Drosophila melanogaster: one gene and its partners. The gene in region 1 interacts genetically with each later gene. Each region holds a gene or a part of one and is shown in the gene's direction. Other genes may lie near its edges.

Region 1 (7,144 bases):
CTGCTTCCATTTACATCACTACTTATGGCAAGCTGCATCGCATGAAATGCAAATGTTTATCTGCAAGGACTCAAAGTCGCTGGGGATGAACATACAAATTTCATGGTAAACTCTCTGATCGCTCCTGCAATTGGGATAAAAGGAAGCAAGGATTCATAGTTCGAGATACAAAAATTATCTAATCAATTCAATTTGGAAAGGTTCTTAAAAATGACGTAAACGTTTAATACCCTTTGTTAGTAAGCCGATTTTATTTTACAGAAAAGATAACAAGAGCAAATTGACGGCATATTAGTTTGGCATGTTTATGTTGATGAATAAACCAATAATAATCATTTCAACGTAAACCAAAAATTACATACAATCAGATTTTTCAAAAAAAAAAAAAAACAGATAGAAACATATTCATGTAAAAAAAACATATAGCCAATAAAAAAGCCGAACAAAACGAAGTTCGTCACCATTCCTAATTAAGAAAACAAAAACTTTATGCTGAGCAACTTAATCATCAAATGTTAATGTCATCTTGAACTAAAAAAATGCCAGTTTTGGCTTTTATCAAAATTATGAAAGTGTAAACAATCACTGCTTTAACTATCATCTATAACATTTATTTAGACCTTAACCAAAAAATATATTCACAAATTCCACAGAAGTATTCAAAATAATAACTCATACACGTAATACCCGGCACTTCAATACAACATCCAAAATGGAAGCCGCCAGTGAAAGAAAAACCCAGATTATGGAAAAGAGGAAGCTCATGGGCGACAAGAGGATGAGCATGGGAATGAAGTCCTTCTATGCCTCGGTAATGGGAAGCATTTTTCGTATGAGCGATGAGCAGCGGAACGCGTTTGCAGCCATGTATAGGCGCCACAAGGCTGACGCACAATATGTTAACAATAACTACGTTGATGATCCCGTGGAGGAGTACGTGCCTATTTATCAAACCGTATTCGATGACGACCGGGATCCCGTGCACGAGCCCACATTCTCTAAACACCGCATACCCCTGTAAGATTTCCAGCCAAACTTGTTACGGTCAAAATACTTCTTATTTCATTAGTCAGATACGTTGTCTGGAACGTTACCACAATTCCAAGCGGGAGTACGCCGATCAGTTCAAGCGGGAAATCAAACTTCTGATCGACAACCAGTCCACGGCGCAGGAGGCTTGGCAATTCGTAAGGTAAGCTGAAAATCTAGATTTAGTTACGCTTAATAATAGGTAATAGGTTTGAAAAGTAACAATCCAATACTCATTTGATTAAAGCACGCCTTAGGCAAACCCTTAATTGATCAGCCACTATTCGTATTAGTTCTCTTTTAATTTAGTCCTCACTATCATTTTTATTTCGCTATTTTTAGTTATAAATAAAGATAAAAGGATTAGAACCTGCTTCCAATAGAAATCGGTTCATTGTTCGACTCCCAAGTAATGTTCTCAGTTCAAGCTTTTCTTCATGGGTCACTTCAATAGATTTTATTTGCTTGTATTTCTATATTGTTTTTGACAATGCTGTCAAGAAAGTGTTGGAATTTATCCCTAGCTCTCCCACTAGCTGAGTAACAAGTATCTGTTAGTCGGGGAAATCGAGTATACCGTTCTCTATTTTGTTATTGTTGTTAATAGAAAAGAAGACGTTCATTGTGCGTTTCGTCACAATTTTTTCGTCAAAGTTTTTAATGTATTGTGTTTAGCTAAAATAGTTTTGAAAAGAATAGATCAAAAACATATTCTTTAGCCTCAGTCACTAATAATTGATAAAACTAAAGATTTTGAATTCAAAATACTAAAAAGTTTTTCAAAGTTTTTCATTTCTTTTGAGCCATATCATCTTCAATTGACAATCATTAGAAACCGTAAATACCAACTTTTCAAATTACTTTACTTATTTCCCTTTTGATTTTCTTACAGAACCATGGCCTATACCACACTTTGGCCGCCGCTGCACACAAGAAAAGAGCTCAAGATTTTCGAATTGGACTTTTGCAAGCTTAACCCTCAAGAGCAGAAGCGCTATAACAAAATAATGGCGACCAACTTTTCTTAGTCTTTAAGTTTTAATATATAAAATTTTATAATTTAAAAAAAAAATATATAAAATAATAAAAGCAACAAAAGTGTTGATGAAAACAATATCGTTCTGGGAATATAATAATTATCGGAAGCCCTCACAGTATTTCAGTATTTTTTATATATACTTTAAAGTCATTTAGTACGGCAACGTTACTAAAAATGGCGTGATTAACAAAAACGTGATAAGCAATAAAAAAAATATATCAAACGAAGTTTTTTCAGATTCCAGATTAATACACGCTTCCTTAACTTTGTAAAGGTTGTAAAATATGATCAAGTTTTGGTAGGTATGAGTGCAAAAATAAAATGCTGTCTGATCTTAACCAAAAGCCTTTTGAATAAAAAACATGAAGACTGTGCAAAAATGTTAAATTTTGATGCCACTTGTAAACATGTGCGCATTAAGGAGGGTGTTGAAATAGGAACTCAAAATCACGAAGGCACTTAACAACGCAAATAGTGAAGCTATTTAGTGAACACAGACTATTATATGTGACATAACAACCGGAAATTGCAGGATGATATGAAAAAGGTAAAATGCAACAACAAATACAGATAATCAGTAGCAAGAAATCATCGAAGTGTAGCACGGCAAAATAGGAGTTGACATGTATCTTTTAAGAAGACCTACCGAAATTTCAAACATCTTGATCCAGCCGGCCAAAACCGCATCTCTGTGCAATAATTCATCGATCGTGTCAACAAACTAGTTAGTGCCTACCAATGGGTCGAGAAGTCTCTACTACTTGCAATCTGTTCACGACACGAATCCAGCAAAGATGTAGCTCGATTCGTCTCCTGTGAAGCGTTGCAGAAGTACATTTCAATATGGGTAACGCCTGTTGTGACTTGAGGTATCTCGCCCTTCCATGACCAAAGGAGAAAAAGAATCCATGTTGTGAGAAATTTCAGAAGCCAAATAGAGTTTGCAAAGCTACAAATCTAAGTGGATGAGTATTTAGGAATTTTACATATGAAGACATTGTTCATCGGGCTGGATCACTGTTGAGGATCGACTTACAAAGCAAATTTTTGAATATTTTTGAATACATTTCACTACGTACAAAATATATACATTTAAACATAATATTTTCAGAGCGAGGCTGTTTTTGGGTCCAGCAAAAAATAATCTAAAAATGTTTTGATCTGTAAGAAGTACGTGCTTAGTGAGGTCTACCTGTATATAGGATCTGTACACTCTAGGGAGAAAGCATCAAAATCCGAGTACCAAAGCTTTTCAAAAGATCTCTTTCTTAGTTGTGATAAGCTCGGCTCAAGTCTCTTGATGGGCTTGAAAGCTTTACTCACGGCCTCTCTGGGACAGTATCTCTCAACGACGAATCGATTATCATCTGCGATCGCATTTAAAAAGTCTCTCGCCCGTTAATTCGCGATCAGTTGTCTCTGCGTATCGAAGGCGTTCGTAGTTTAATTTCGCTCTTCACGGTTCTCTGGTTCGAGGTCGACGCGCGTAATCGCAAAGACGCGTTCTTATTAAATAAGCTGTGAAATTTCTTATTAAAATTGGTGGGAAATATCCCAGAAGATGAAATCAACACGCAAAGTAGTTGGGATTTTTTTGGCCACCTGCCTGCTGCCTTTCACCGTTCTACAAAATGTTGCGGCACAAGGAAGTAAGTACCGAGCTATAAATATGTGATTCACTCAGAGCTGACTCATTAATTGAGACCGGTACTTATCCGTGTTAAGCGCAATAGCTTAACAGAATTCAATGCGGTTATCAGACTTGAACTTGAACAAATTTCCCATGTCAATGACTTAATTGAGCGCACTCGTGTATTCTTTCATTCTCCTCAATAAATTTTATGGGACCACTCGTCAAACAACATATTACATTATCAAGGGATTTGATTGATGTCAAAAAATTAATCGTATTTTTTATTATCAAGTAGCAACTCCTGACAATTTTAAATATCGTTCTTAATGCTTGTGTTCTCAAAAACGAAACATAATTGAAATAACGTATAAGTGCAATTTAAATGTTTATTAAACATAAACCAAATTCTTAATAGGATTTTTATAATTTGAAATTAATTAAGCTGCAAAATTAGGTCACTAATATTGACTACAATTATTGATAGCATAATCAAGCGAATTAAAATGTTTAATGAAGTCGTTTTTGACTTAAGTGTTTTGTTTTAATTCAACGACGTGCTGATTGATAGTATTATTGCTTAATTTATTTAAATTAAATAAATATTTATATTTAATTTAAATAGCTTTATCAGCAGGTTGATTTCCGAATTCAAAATTTCCCAAGTTGCCTTCATGTTTTATACCACTCTTAACTCATTTTGACAGGAGTAACTGATCTTCCTACTTGTGTCTTTAATTGTTATGTGTAGGTTGTAGGAATCCCAACCAGAAACAGGGACAATGTTTGTCCATATACGACTGTCAAAGTCTGCTTTCCGTGATTCAGCAGTCTTATGTCAGCCCGGAGGACAGAACCTTTCTTCGAAACTCACAGTGCCTCGATGGAGTAGGTCGCCAGCCATATGTTTGCTGTACAAGTGATCGCAGCTTTGGATCCCAGGAGGCCACCTCCGCAGCCCCTCCTCCAACGACTACCAGTTCAAGTTCACGAGGTCAAGACGGTCAAGCGGGTCTGGGCAACCTGCTGCCCTCGCCACCCAAGTGCGGGCCCCACTCCTTCAGCAATAAGGTCTATAATGGCAACGACACTGCTATTGACGAGTTCAACTGGATGGCACTGCTTGAGTACGTGGATAGTAAGTGACATCTTATATAAAATCATGTAACTTTAGTTAACGCATCTTTATCCATGTTGATAGACAGGGGACGGCGGGAACTCAGTTGCGGTGGCAGTTTGATCAACAATCGTTACGTTCTTACCGCCGCCCATTGCGTCATTGGTGCGGTGGAAACGGAAGTAGGTCACCTGTAAGTATTTACGTGGTTTGATGTTTATCCACGTTTTTAAATAACTAAATGAGTTGTGCCCCTATACAGAACTACCGTTCGGTTGGGGGAATACGATACCAGCAAGGACGTGGACTGCATAGATGACATTTGCAACCAGCCCATCCTACAATTGGGCATCGAACAGGCCACTGTACATCCCCAATATGATCCTGCCAACAAGAACCGCATTCACGACATTGCCTTATTGCGATTAGATCGGCCCGTTGTGCTTAATGAGTATATTCAGCCGGTTTGTTTGCCTTTGGTAAGCACACGAATGGCAATCAATACCGGGGAGCTCTTGGTGGTCAGCGGGTGGGGCCGAACCACAACAGGTGAGTTTGGATATTAAAGATACTTATATTCATTCTAAAGATATCAATTGAAGCTCTTGACCAAGAAGAATCTATAATTTCATAACTAATTGATTCAAATTCTTATTCTATAGCCCGCAAGAGCACCATAAAGCAGCGATTGGATCTGCCGGTGAATGACCACGATTACTGCGCACGAAAGTTCGCCACGAGGAATATCCACCTGATCAGTTCCCAGCTCTGTGTTGGCGGGGAATTCTACCGCGACAGCTGTGATGGCGACTCCGGCGGACCGCTGATGCGAAGGGGTTTTGACCAGGCTTGGTACCAGGAGGGCGTGGTCTCCTTTGGCAACCGCTGCGGACTAGAGGGTTGGCCAGGTGTCTACACTCGGGTAGCCGACTACATGGACTGGATCGTGGAGACCATTCGTCCCTGAGCAGCGGAACGAAGGCCGCTTTTGTTCTGATAATGTTTTAATTAAAGTCAAGTCGAGAGTGCTCTTTGGGCTGGGCGCCCATCCTTTAATTAACTTGCATTCAATGTGATTTTATCAGCTGCACTTACCACGCTGCGTATACTTAATGCGCTTACAGTCTAGCGCCGTTTGCGGTAATTAAAATCGCTGTTCCCCACTGGGATGGGATGGTGAGAGTTCAGTGGAATAACTTTCAAGATGCGGGCCAACTTGCCCAGAGGCACCTTCTTAGCGCCCCCAGCTATTTTCTATGCAATTTGGCAATGAATTTCTATTATGGAAGCAGTGCTTTTCAGAGCTTCCGGCGCTCCATCCGCAAAGTTTTCACTTGTTTGCTGGCTGATTGCACTGAAGGCGTGGCTAGGCTGGAAAACGAAGTAGACAATGGCTAGGCTCATTAATTGTGTGCACGCGGAAAGGTTAATGATGCCTGCAGGAACCGGTTAGCACGGACAAAGGGCTTGGGTTTCTTTACCAAATTTACAGAGTCCACATAACAGCTTTTTAATGCGGATCCAAATACAAGCGCAAGAAGTAAACGAGGATCGCAAAGGAATTTCAAACAACTTAACATATATATATAGTTGTTATAGTTTTATATAACATATATAGTTATAGTATATCCATCTTTCCTTCTTAACACGATGGATTTAAAGACGGCCGAATAAATGAATAAATAAATCCGAGCCCTGATAACCGAATCCCATCTCTAGTTGGACATACGCACTGTGTAAGAATATTTCTTTATTTTTTCTTTTATCTTTTTTATATTTTATTTTTGAGAAAATTCATTGCGTACACATGGAAAAAATGGATCGAAAGCCATTCATTTCCTTAAACCTATAAAAATTTGGATTGAAGACGGAAAGAACTTATCTAATAAAATGTTGGTTCTTGGAATAATTAAAAAAATCTGTATGAATAAACCACGAATTGGTGTTATTCTGAGTACAATACTTTTTTATTTCAGCATAATTAAATACGTTGATTCAGTTATATTATCATATATAAGTAATATATATATATATATACATTACATTTTAAAAAGATAACGTACTTGAAACCATATCCACTTATTATAGAGGAACTAGTATGCATGATTTGTTATCCCCGTTACTCGTAGAGTAAAACGGAACACTAGACTCAGTGAAAATTATGTAACAGGCAGAAGGTAGCGTTTCCGACCATATAAAGTACTTATATTATTGATCAGCATCAATAGCCGAGTAGAACTGGCCAAGTCCGTCTCACCATCCGTATGAACGGAAGATCTCAGGAGATATAAAAGCTAGAAGGTTGAAATTTAGCATACAGATTTTAGAG
Region 2 (6,655 bases), on another chromosome or scaffold:
TATCGATATCTACTATTCCAGAGGGTCCAACAAGGTGGAGGACGCCATCGAGTGCTACCAGCGGGCGGGCAACATGTTTAAGATGTCCAAAAACTGGACAAAGGCTGGGGAGTGCTTCTGCGAGGCGGCAACTCTACACGCGCGGGCTGGAAGTCGTCACGATGCCGGAACCTGCTACGTAGACGCTTCCAACTGCTACAAGAAGGTGGACGTGGAGAGCGCCGTCAACTGCCTGATGAAGTCCATCGACATCTACACGGATATGGGCCGCTTTACGATGGCTGCCAAACATCACCAAAGCATCGCCGAGATGTACGAAAGTGATCCCAATAATCTGGTGGGTTCCCGTGTGCGCCTCCATGCTAATTACATATTAATGGACCATTTCCCTTTCAGGCCAAGTCTATTCAGCACTATGAGCAGGCGGCTGATTACTTCAAGGGTGAAGAGTCGGTCAGTTCGGCCAACAAGTGCATGTTGAAGGTGGCCCAGTACGCCGCCCAACTGGAGGATTACGAGAAAGCAATATCCATATACGAGCAGGTGGCCGCCTCCTCGCTGGAGAGCTCTCTGCTCAAGTACAGTGCCAAGGAGTACTTCTTCAGGGCCGCTCTATGCCATCTCAGCGTGGACCTCCTGAACGCCCAGCATGCCATCGAAAAGTATGCGCAGCAGTACCCAGCATTCCAGGACTCCAGGGAGTTCAAGCTCATCAAGGTGGGTATCAGTTTGCTTAAGTTTTATCTTTGGTGTGTGTGTGTCGTCTTTGGTTTTCGCAGATATTTACTTTAAGACGCTTTTCGAATTACAGGTGTTGTGCGAGAATCTAGAGGAACAGAACATCGAGGGATTCACAGAGGCCGTCAAGGACTACGACAGCATCTCCCGGTTGGATCAGTGGTACACCACCATCTTGCTGCGGATCAAGAAGGCTGCGGACGAGGATCCCGATCTGCGATAAACGAAATCAATTAAATTTTCGGATAAAATCGCGTACACATTTATTAAATGCTTTATTCGGTTCGGATATTAATCTACCTATACATATATAACTAAAAGAAAATTATTAAACGTGTTGCATTGCTTAACCTGAAAGCACCCAAACGACGGCCAGCTTGTACGCGTGAATTAAACCTATGGAATAGTCTATATTCCCGTATTCTAGAGTTTAATTTAACGTTTATGCAACGAATGAAGAAGGCAGCAGATGCCGAGGCTCAAATTGCGCTACCACGTGCTATTCAAAAGAAAAACTTTATTATTTCCAATGTGGAGTGATTAGAGGTGTTACTTATGTTTGTCTGTTTTTGCGTTACTCTTGTTATTTGTGTAAGTAGCCAATCAATCAGTGGGTTAGCTGATGTTCCATTTGGATGCGTAAAGTACCCTATAGAAATCTGTATCCACTACTATAATAAATTGAGAACTTCATTCTATGTGTGTAATGTGTTAGATAATTTTGAGATTAACTAAAGAGTCCCTGGTAGCGAAAATGAATTTCAAACCAATTATAATTCCATTTAGTGCACTGAAATAAAATTAAACCTAAAGTTTAGATTGTACGCATATACACAACCTACAAATAAAATATATGTCCACATAAACATTACCGATTACCCCGATAAATATCCAAAAAGTACACGGAATTCTAATAAATACTTGAGGGTCACATTTATAGAAAATTCCATCTCGCAAAATTTTAACGATGTTTAGTAGATCAACATGTACGAGCGAATTATAATCCAATAAATAATATTACGACGGAGCGACGAAGATTACGCGGTCGTCGAGGCCGAAGCAAGAATAAATAAATCAATTATTGAATTTATTGAATGAAGATCTCCAGGAAACACACAACACCACTGAAACCTGACCCAACACATTTAATTATTAATACTGCAAAGATCCTGGTAATGCCTCTATGCAAGCGTTACCACGGATATTTCCAATTCAAATACTTTAATAAAGTTAACGCTTGGATTAATCCTGTCATCCTCTCTTCGTATCCATCGATGTTTCCTAAAATGGTGCCTAGCATATATTCCAGTCCATCCATAAGCATTGTCTTTCTAGTATATCATTAGTTTGCACCTGTCACTTGGGAAAAAAAAATGTTTTTTACCTTGAAGTTTGTTGTTTATTGCACTTGTAAACTTACTGGTATTGAAAACATTCATTTGTATGATTATAAAACACAGTTGAGAGCTACCTGCATATGTCTTCTACAGCTCATATTTGATGTCATCTTAACCATCCATCCACGAGCTTACAATATTGCATATACATTTGAATACATGTAGTTACCTTTTAAAATATCTTGGATTCAGGCACAGTTGATGTAGATGTGATCTAAAGGTGAGTTACTGGAGTTAACCCGGCATTTCAACCAGTTTCACCATCGGATTAGCTGCAACTCATAGTAGTGATTCCACCTGATTTCCATTTCGCGAATGAGGCTTCATTGTCAAGAGCGGCAGACAAAGGTCTGCCAATATCAATACCGCGTTCTCTCGCTGCGGCTCTCGCATCTGAATCCGAGTCTGAACTGATTTGGACCCGGCTGTGGGACGATGGCGGTGGCGGTGGGATGGGATGACCATATCAGTACGGTGCTGAATGGTCGATGGAGCAGTCTCTCAGTCACTCAGTCACTCAGCTGATGCTCGTGCGTTAGGTTGACATTGTTTGTGGGGAGTTGTGTGGACGTGGGTTCGATCTGGCATCAAAATCTTGGCAAAACCGAAAACCACCAGTAGCTGGGTTCACAAATTGAAATAAATATATAGAATTATATAAGCGGCAACCGCATACGCGAACACCCCACCCACCTGTACGTATGGTCTCCTTGCGAGCGTGTATTTGTATACATAATATATGTGGAATTCCCCTCAGTGCATTCCGGTTTTCGAATAACACCGACCGACAACAGTGTATAGAGACATATAGATGAACGTCGCTTTGTCAACATCGAAAAACCCCAAAATACATCAATAAAAGGTTTAAAAGCCTCTCAATAATTGATGCACACCCACATGGTTAAGCAAAAGTGTGATTCATTTGTGTGCGCAATTATTATAAAAATTTTAAAAGCCCTGCCTGAAGGCCCAATTATAAATAATATTAAAAGCCCGGCCTGAAGGCCTGATAAGCGAGGCTTGAGCCAATTCTTGATCGCAGCCACAAAAAATGGGTAAAATCGCAGGTAAGCTTCGTGGTCAATTAATTATGGAATATTTCCCAGAGGCGGGGATGTTGTTTTAGAGGCAATCAATAAAGAGATTTAAAATTTACAAGTACTCGTGTGTGCACAGCAAACACATATTATGTACATACATATATACATTTTGTATTACGTACAAACACATGAGGTCGTCAATGGATCATCGCTATCAATTGGAAAATGCTTATTTTTACGCATCTGGGAATACTATATGTACATAGTACTCACGCGAGTGCCTTTGAATTTCATTCGATTTGATTAGACCGGAAATAGCTATGCCGGATTTTCAGGCAGTTTTTCAAAATCGAGTTGTTGGTTTAACTCATACGGAGTTCAAGGACAATTGGCTAACTGCATATGTATATGGTTTAAACTTACATTCTGAAATGAATAATAAAATTATATTCCGATGGAAAACAGTTACCGTAAAATGATTATTTAACTCGAAATTTATAAAATTATCCATCTTTAACGCATTTTAAAATGATGTTGGTGTAAAATAATACAATAATTTTAGTGCGGCTTTTAACATCATGATCCTTAATGAAATGACGTTCTAATGCACATCTTAATCCAGATTGCCTGATGCTATGGATTCCACTACTCCTGGGAGCCATCTTCCTGTGCTCGGCGGATCCTCAGAACAACCAAGCGCCCCTCCAGCTTTCAGTGGGCAATCCCCTTACCGCATTCACAGCTCCCACGGCTTTCCAAAGTGGCGTCAGCCATATCCAGTCCATGAGAAGCAACTTCGACACGGATGTCCTGGTCAGCATTTCGCAGGGGGTCCAGGACTTCGCCCTCGATCTCCTGCAGCGCATATCCGTTGAAGTGGAGAAGGCCAACAAGGATTTCATGATATCGCCCTTTTCCGTCTGGTCACTCCTGGTGCTTCTCTACGAGGGATCCGAGGGAGAGACCCGCAACCAGTTGAAAAAAAGCCTGCGGATCAATGTCGAGGACGAAAAGCTTCGGGGCGCCTACAAGGTTTGGAGCTCATTTCTGAAGTGAGTTTATAGGATTGCATATTTATGGATCGCGGTGACCCCCTTCCCTCTTCTAAGCATCACCACTTCCACCATCGAAGTAGCCACCCTGCAGGCCATATACACCGGCAAGGGGTATCCCATCAAGAACAACTACCGCGATGCTATTCAAAACTACAATGTCCAGCCGATGGAAGTGGACTTCTATAGCCCGGATTCGGTGATCCAGATCAACGAGGACACAAATCGCACGACCCGCGGTCTGATTCCTTATACCATTCTGCCACAGGATGTATATGGAGCGAAGATGTTTCTGCTCTCGTCTCTGTACTTCAAGGGCCAATGGAAGGTGGGAAGTGAACTTGTCCACTTGCAAATCCTTCGATATATCGTTTTCGCTTGCAGTTTCCCTTCAACAAAACGCTGACAAGAGAGGAACCCTTTTTCAGCGAGAGCGGCGAAGTCATTGGAAAGATTCCCATGATGGTGCAGGAAGCGAACTTCGCCTACGTCTCAAACGTAGAGGGTTTGGATGGCTATGTGCTGGAGCTGCCCTACGGCACCCAGGATCGTCTGGCGATGATCGTGGTGCTGCCCAAGCGCGGATTCAAGCTAAACGACGTAGCCAATAATCTGAAGGCCTTGGGATTGAGGCCCATCCTCCAGCGACTGGCGGCATTCAGGAACAGGGCCTCCGAGGACAACGAAGTGGAGGTCATGATGCCCAAGTTTGTGACTGCCACAGATTTCACTCTTAAGGGAGTCCTCATCCAGGTGACAGAACTTCTAAATCCAATCTGGAAATACATTTGTAAATAACTTCTAATTCTAGATGGGCATTCGCGATCTGTTCGACGAGAATACAGCCAACCTGGACCGAATGTCTTCCGGCTTGTTTGCCAAGCTGGTCGTCCACTCAACCAAGATCATTGTGGACGAACAGGGAACCACGGCGGGAGCCGTCACGGAGGCAGCGCTGGCCAACAAGGCCACACCGCCCAAGTTCCTGCTCAACCGGCCCTTCCAGTACATGATCGTAGAGAAGGCAACCGGACTTCTCCTCTTCGCCGGACAAGTGCGGAATCCCAAGGCGGCCTAAAAGTCCACCGACTCACACTTTACTCACATACCACAATAAATACGTTACGTTAAGACAAAAGGGGGAATTTTATTACGGATCCTTGCAACTCCCTCATGTACCACTTCTGTACTACTGTGGCAGCCCAAAAGATTCCTCTAACGTCACGGCCAGGAACTAAAATCTGTCAGGATACGTCAAGTAAGCAGCACAATGGGGAAGTCTCACTGTACCGCTATATTTTCGTCACATGTAAAAGTTGTTAACGTATTCTTATTAAAGAATATAAATAATATTAATTTACGCGACGATCTTGGTATTACTGATGCCAAGCTTTCTACATCAGCGCCCTCTTGCGGCTTTGAAAATCTTTGAAAATATCGAATAAAACGCGTAGTACAGCTGAAAAACTGCTGTAATGAACACTGTAAAATTAGCAGCTGCAAATTAGTTGAATGGTCTGAACAACTTCGGGCACTTTTGGTGTTCCTTCGCCATGTCACTGGATATTATGGATAAGGAAACTAAAAAAATCCAAAAAAATCGTTCTCTTTCAGAAATTTTGCCAGATTTGACCGACTTGTGGTCGATAGAGTGGGAGAAGAGTAGAGCTGGAGTCCGTATTCCCAAAATTAAAATATCTGTTTGATTCAATTCCTTGTCGATTAGCAATGTCTTTTATTTCGAGCTAAAACGTTAATAGCGTGACCTGGCCACTACTATTCTCCAGATCGCAAAATACGGAAGGTATACGAAGGAGTAAAGCAATACGAAGATAAGGAAACATAAGCTGCAGCTATTAAACGTGCTTGTGCCGCCAGAAGGACCGTTTTTTGGAAGTTTTTACTAACAAAACTCTTTACTGAAACATTTTTTTACTTTACTTTTTTTACTTTATTTTACATACTCATGACAAAATCTACGAGTAACTGATATAAAAAATGCAAGGCACGTGCAAAAAAACGGGAACATAAAAATAAAGTATACATGGCTTGGAATATTGAACTCCACAAATTAACGAAAGTAAATCATATAAATATAGTTTTTTGTAAATAAAAAAACAGTTTTGAGTAGTCTTCGGGTGCACAAAGAGGTAAGAAAAGTAAATGATATTTTTGCTTCAGCTGAAATATTTCTTATCGGTCTAGCCAAGTAAATTTTGTTGACAATATGAAGCTCGGATTTCTGGGGCTTTTTGGCATGGTGCTCATGATCATGTTCTACGAGGGAGCAGAAGGGTATACCGTCAATGAGCTGCGCGATGTCCTGGGGATCTATGTCGATTATCCAACACTGCGCAGGTGGTACGAGGATGTCCGAGCTTATCACTAGTAAGTACCACATTACTCAGAAACTACATCTATTAGAATT
Region 3 (4,495 bases), about 14 Mb from region 1:
CAAGCAACCGGATGGATAAATAACTTAGGAATTGGGCTTGATACACATGAATTAAATGAGCTCAATTGGAACATAATGGGTAAGCAATATAATCAATCAATTTACACATCAGTTTGGCTTACATCTATCTATGTTATTTTGTGCGGACCATTAGTCCCAGTATTTTATCTGGCCATCCCAGCCAGCGGTGACCACTTTGCTGGCCTCATGCGGATGCCAGAGGGCACTGATGCAGACGCCGTCGTGCGCCTGCCACTTCTTGTACATCTTCGTCGTCTTCCAGTCCCAAATATAACATTTGCCATCGCCATCGCCCGACACCAGATAGCTCATGTCCGGCGAAAAGTCCAGCTGGCAGGCGTAGCCAGAGACCATGTGACCGGTGAAGGTCTTTTTGCGGTTCATCTTGAAGCGATTGAGGGCGGAGAAGATGACGATCTTGTTGTCTAACGACTGGCAGGCCATCCATTTGCCATTGGGCGCCAATGTGACCGCCGGCATGGAATGCATAGTGGGGTCGGCAATGTACTTCATGTCCACAGGAATGTCCCACTCCCATATGCGCATCGATTTGTCGTCCGAGGTGGTCACAAACCGTCGGTTGTCGTCCACAAAGGTGATGGTGCTCACAGATCCCAAGTGCCGGTCGTATTCCTGTACAATATCACCGCTGCGAGTGTCCCACTGCGAATTGATAGGAAAACAATTGTAACATGAGCATCTACTTTTGTAAATTTTACTTACACAAATGATCTTCTTGTCGGAGGTGCCGGCAACGAACAAATGTTGCTTGCTATTATCCGGATGGAATTTCACACAGAAAGGCATTTTACGCGTTGTGAATCGGGACACTACATCGCCCGTTTCGGCATCCCACAACTTTATGTAGCGATCATACGAGGCAGACAGGAAGTTGGTACCCCTGTTGTTCCACGCAATATCCTTGATGGCCTGCCGGTGACCGGAGAAGGTGCGTATGCAGCGTCGCTCGCCGTAAACCTCCCACAGTTTGACGCGACAGTCCATCGATCCGGAGAGCAGAAGATGAGCGGTCTTGGGGAACCAGCGGATGGAGGAGATGCCCTTGTTGTGGCCCGACCAGGTGTGTATGTGCGCCTTGGGCAGAAAGCATTTGGTCGGTGGTGCATTCGATCGTAGATTCACGCCCAGATCATGAGGAGCATGCAAATAAGAGCGGCCCTGATAGTCGTACGCATCCTTGACTGTGGAGCAAAAAAGGAAAAGATTATTAACGATATATATTCGGTGGCTATTGGATTAAACTCACTGTGCAGCGTCGACTTCTCCTCGAGCGGCTTATCCTCGGGAATGCGTCCGCGCTTATGTCGCTTAGACAGCAGCTCGTCCAGTTCGGCGCGCTCCTGTTCATTTGGCTTTGCCACCGACACCTCGTTTTCGAACTTGCCCCAGGGACCCAGAAAGCCCTCAATGTCCTCGGGATTATCATTTTTCTCCTGCTTGCGCAGTTTCTTTGCCTTGGGCGGCTCAAATACCGTCTTGCCATTGTCATCGTACGCAGACTGCAGGTCACCCACAAAAGACTGGCCGTCCGCCTGATCGTCTACGCTGGGGTCCAATGCGTAGCCGTAGGTGTGAAAGGTGCGTCGCTGGTTCTCAAATTCGAAGGCATTGATGTGGGCCTTCTCTACGTAGCCGGCTAGGGTGTTCCGCGGAGCGCGCTGCTGCATGGTGAGGTCCGGATGCTCCGGACCTTTTACCGGAGCATACATCTCCTCATAGCGCGGATTGTAGGTTACCTCCTTGAGCGTGGGATCCAGAGTTCGGGGCACGGCCGATGCTCCAAGGGGAACCACCGTTGGCGCCGCACAAACAGCAATGGACTTGGATAGCGAGTGTGTCTTGTCCACGGGCAGCAGGTGATCCGGAATGGGAGCGGAGGGCTCTGAATTCGTGGTGGCTGTGGCGGCGTCCGCATGGTCCGATTCTTCATCCGAGGAACTGGCGTATGACTGAAGGCCCAACATTTAGAGGCTGCGGACGAACTCTGTGTACTTGTTAACGAAATGCTGAAGGTAAATCAAGACCAGAGTGTAGAGGAGGAATACGAAAACGTTAATGGATATTTCCATTCGTCTACACGTTTGCGTTTATCATTAGTTGCTTCAGTAAAAGTAACAAAAACATAAATATATATCTATCAAAACTAGGGATGGTGCGTGCCATCTGTTATCGATGTTATCGAATGGCTATGTAACGGTCTCACTAATAGATCCCAAACATGCAAGGTGGTGCAAGTTTAAAGCTTATTTTAAATTTTTTAAGTTGTATGGAAATAGTATTTGATATTTTTTTGCTCATTTTGCTCAAACACCTATTCAGTGCTGATCGATAACAGGTAAGGAAATGTTTGGCCATACGGTCATACTACATCAGGGAGTGAAGTTGCGTTGATACATTTTGGGAACTTAAGACCGCTGAAAATACCGTCTCTGTAAATTAGTCACAATGACTGCAGGCAGGCACTGGAGCTACGACAGCCTCAAACAAATCGCCATTGATGGATGCACCGAGAACGTGGAGCAGTTGAAACTAATTTTTGTCGAAGAGATTGGTTCGCGACGCAGATCGGATTGCATACGAACCATCGAGGATTTAATTGACTGCCTGGAACGAGCGGACGAACTATCGGAGTACAATGTGGAGCCACTGCGCCGGATATCAGGCAATATGCCACAGCTCATCGAGGCTCTGAGCGCCTACACAAAGCCGGAAAACATTCTTGGACATCCGGTTAATCTGTACCAGGAACTCCGATTGGCCGAGGAACTTCGTCAGCAGCTCCGTATTGCTCCAGCTTCCCAGAATGCTCAGCCATCAGTTTCGGAATTAGCTGCCGCTGTGCCTCCAACAGCAATCCAAAACTATGCCACCCCAGCTGCTTTTACGGATCACAAACGAACGATGGTCTTTAAGAAAATATCCGAGGAACTGGGTCGCTATTGGCGACGACTGGGCCGATCGGCGGGCATTGGCGAGGGCCAAATGGACACAATCGAGGAGCGCTACCCGCACGACTTGAAGTCCCAGATTCTGCGACTGCTGCAGCTCATCGAAGAGGATGATTGCCACGATCCCAAGCACTTTCTGCTTCGTCTGTGTCGCGCCCTGGGCGATTGTGGTCGCAATGATCTGCGCAAGAGGGTGGAGCAGATAATGTCGCACTAGAACGCATTCACTTATATGCACTTTATATGCATTTTGTTACGATACTAGTAATTAATGTGCTGGAGAGCGACAAAGATGTGCCTTTATTGTAATTATTCACATGTTATTCCAAGGTTGGACAGAGCATAAAAATCGCACACTAAATTAATATGTGTCAACGCGGAATTGTACGATCTTATAAGAAAATGTGATTGACGTATTCCATTCAAAATGGGAATTCACATTTCCTTATCATAAGATAGTCTACAAAAAATATTGTTAACTCGTAATACACAAGTCACATAGTTGAAGATAGCAATGTACAATGGATATAAAATACGTTTTGCAAACGCTTTTGCTTCTCTTATCCTCAAAAGACGGTTGAAAATTTGTTTACAAATAGGGTCACACCTTTTGCATTGAACTATCGAATTGGCAATTATCGATAGGCACAGCTGGCTGAATATCGTTTGCTTCGGGGTGAATGGTTAGCAACACGTGCGCGCAATATTTTATTTGAGAATTCTGTTTTTAACCATTAAACTCTATTAAAAAGCATACATAGTTAGCAATATGTCTATTCGGGAGAAGCTGCTGATGAAGAAGATCGTTAAGCGGGAGAAGATGAAGAAGGAGCTCTCGCAGAAGAAGGGAAACAAGAACGCCCAAAAGCAGGAGCCACCCAAACAAAATGGCAATAAACCCAGTAAAAAACCGGAGAAACTCAGTAAAAAGCATGTGGCCAAGGATGAGGGTACGATTAAAAACGTGTGTGCCTAATAAATATATGTAAGATTCACTTTTCGACCCGCAGATGACGACTTAGAGGAGGATTTCCAGGAGGCGCCGCTGCCCAAGAAGAAGCAACAAAAACAGCCTCCAAAAAAGCAACAAATTCAGGTGGCCAACTCGGATTCGGAATCAGATGACGATGAGCAGGAGGATGAGGCAGATGAGGATAGCGATTTGGACGAAGTAGCCGAAGTTGATGAGGAGGATGTTGACAGCGGGAGTGAAGATGATGACCAGCAGGAAGGTAAGTAAAAGTGTCGATATTTAGGGAATTCGTTCTAACTACCAATAATAATGATGATTTTTAAAGGCGAATTTGAGCAGCTCTGGTGCAGCGAGTTAATGTTGCCCAGGGCAGGCATGAAATCCATTTAAAAACCAACTGAATTATATAAAATACTAAAAAACTGTATCCCTGTGAAAACCAAAATTAACCAAGAGTACCTGTTTCAGATGAAGATGAAGAAGAACCTGTGCCAGCCAAGAAAACGAAGTTGCTTCCCAACAAGTCCAAGGC

The links.
Region 2: of Sp7 (region 1) and Spn77Ba, changing one suppresses a phenotype caused by changing the other (phenotypic suppression), as found in Drosophila melanogaster (one study listed by BioGRID).
Region 3: of Sp7 (region 1) and Fadd, changing one enhances a phenotype caused by changing the other (phenotypic enhancement), as found in Drosophila melanogaster (one study listed by BioGRID).

Annotation. Positions count from the first base shown.
Region 1 is NT_033777.3:7,757,558-7,764,701, forward strand, and holds Sp7 (serine protease 7), read left to right. Parts: upstream 1-2,228; 5' UTR 2,229-2,366; intron 2,367-3,179; 5' UTR 3,180-3,629; coding exon 3,630-3,717; intron 3,718-4,449; coding exon 4,450-4,836; intron 4,837-4,899; coding exon 4,900-5,008; intron 5,009-5,077; coding exon 5,078-5,364; intron 5,365-5,477; coding exon 5,478-5,782; 3' UTR 5,783-5,869; downstream 5,870-7,144. Other genes in the region: CG10919 (uncharacterized protein), read left to right, coding at 713-1,017, 1,070-1,192, 1,922-2,057. UniProt on the Drosophila melanogaster protein: Serine protease that, by cleaving and activating prophenoloxidase (PPO1) after immune challenge, plays an essential role in the melanization immune response to septic wounding.
Region 2 is NT_037436.4:20,314,587-20,321,241, forward strand, and holds Spn77Ba (serpin 77Ba), read left to right. Parts: upstream 1-2,603; 5' UTR 2,604-3,186; coding exon 3,187-3,202; intron 3,203-3,797; coding exon 3,798-4,227; intron 4,228-4,284; coding exon 4,285-4,555; intron 4,556-4,611; coding exon 4,612-4,980; intron 4,981-5,038; coding exon 5,039-5,305; 3' UTR 5,306-5,530; downstream 5,531-6,655. Other genes in the region: alphaSnap (alpha soluble NSF attachment protein), read left to right, coding at 22-337, 397-717, 812-961; Spn77Bb (serpin 77Bb), read left to right, coding at 6,455-6,615.
Region 3 is NT_033777.3:22,032,076-22,036,570, forward strand, and holds Fadd (Fas-associated death domain), read left to right. Parts: upstream 1-2,379; 5' UTR 2,380-2,487; coding exon 2,488-3,207; 3' UTR 3,208-3,542; downstream 3,543-4,495. Other genes in the region: CG6015 (uncharacterized protein), read right to left, coding at 151-684, 745-1,223, 1,289-2,006; CG45099 (uncharacterized protein), read right to left, coding at 2,007-2,111; pit (pitchoune), read left to right, coding at 3,760-3,940, 4,001-4,222, 4,432-4,495.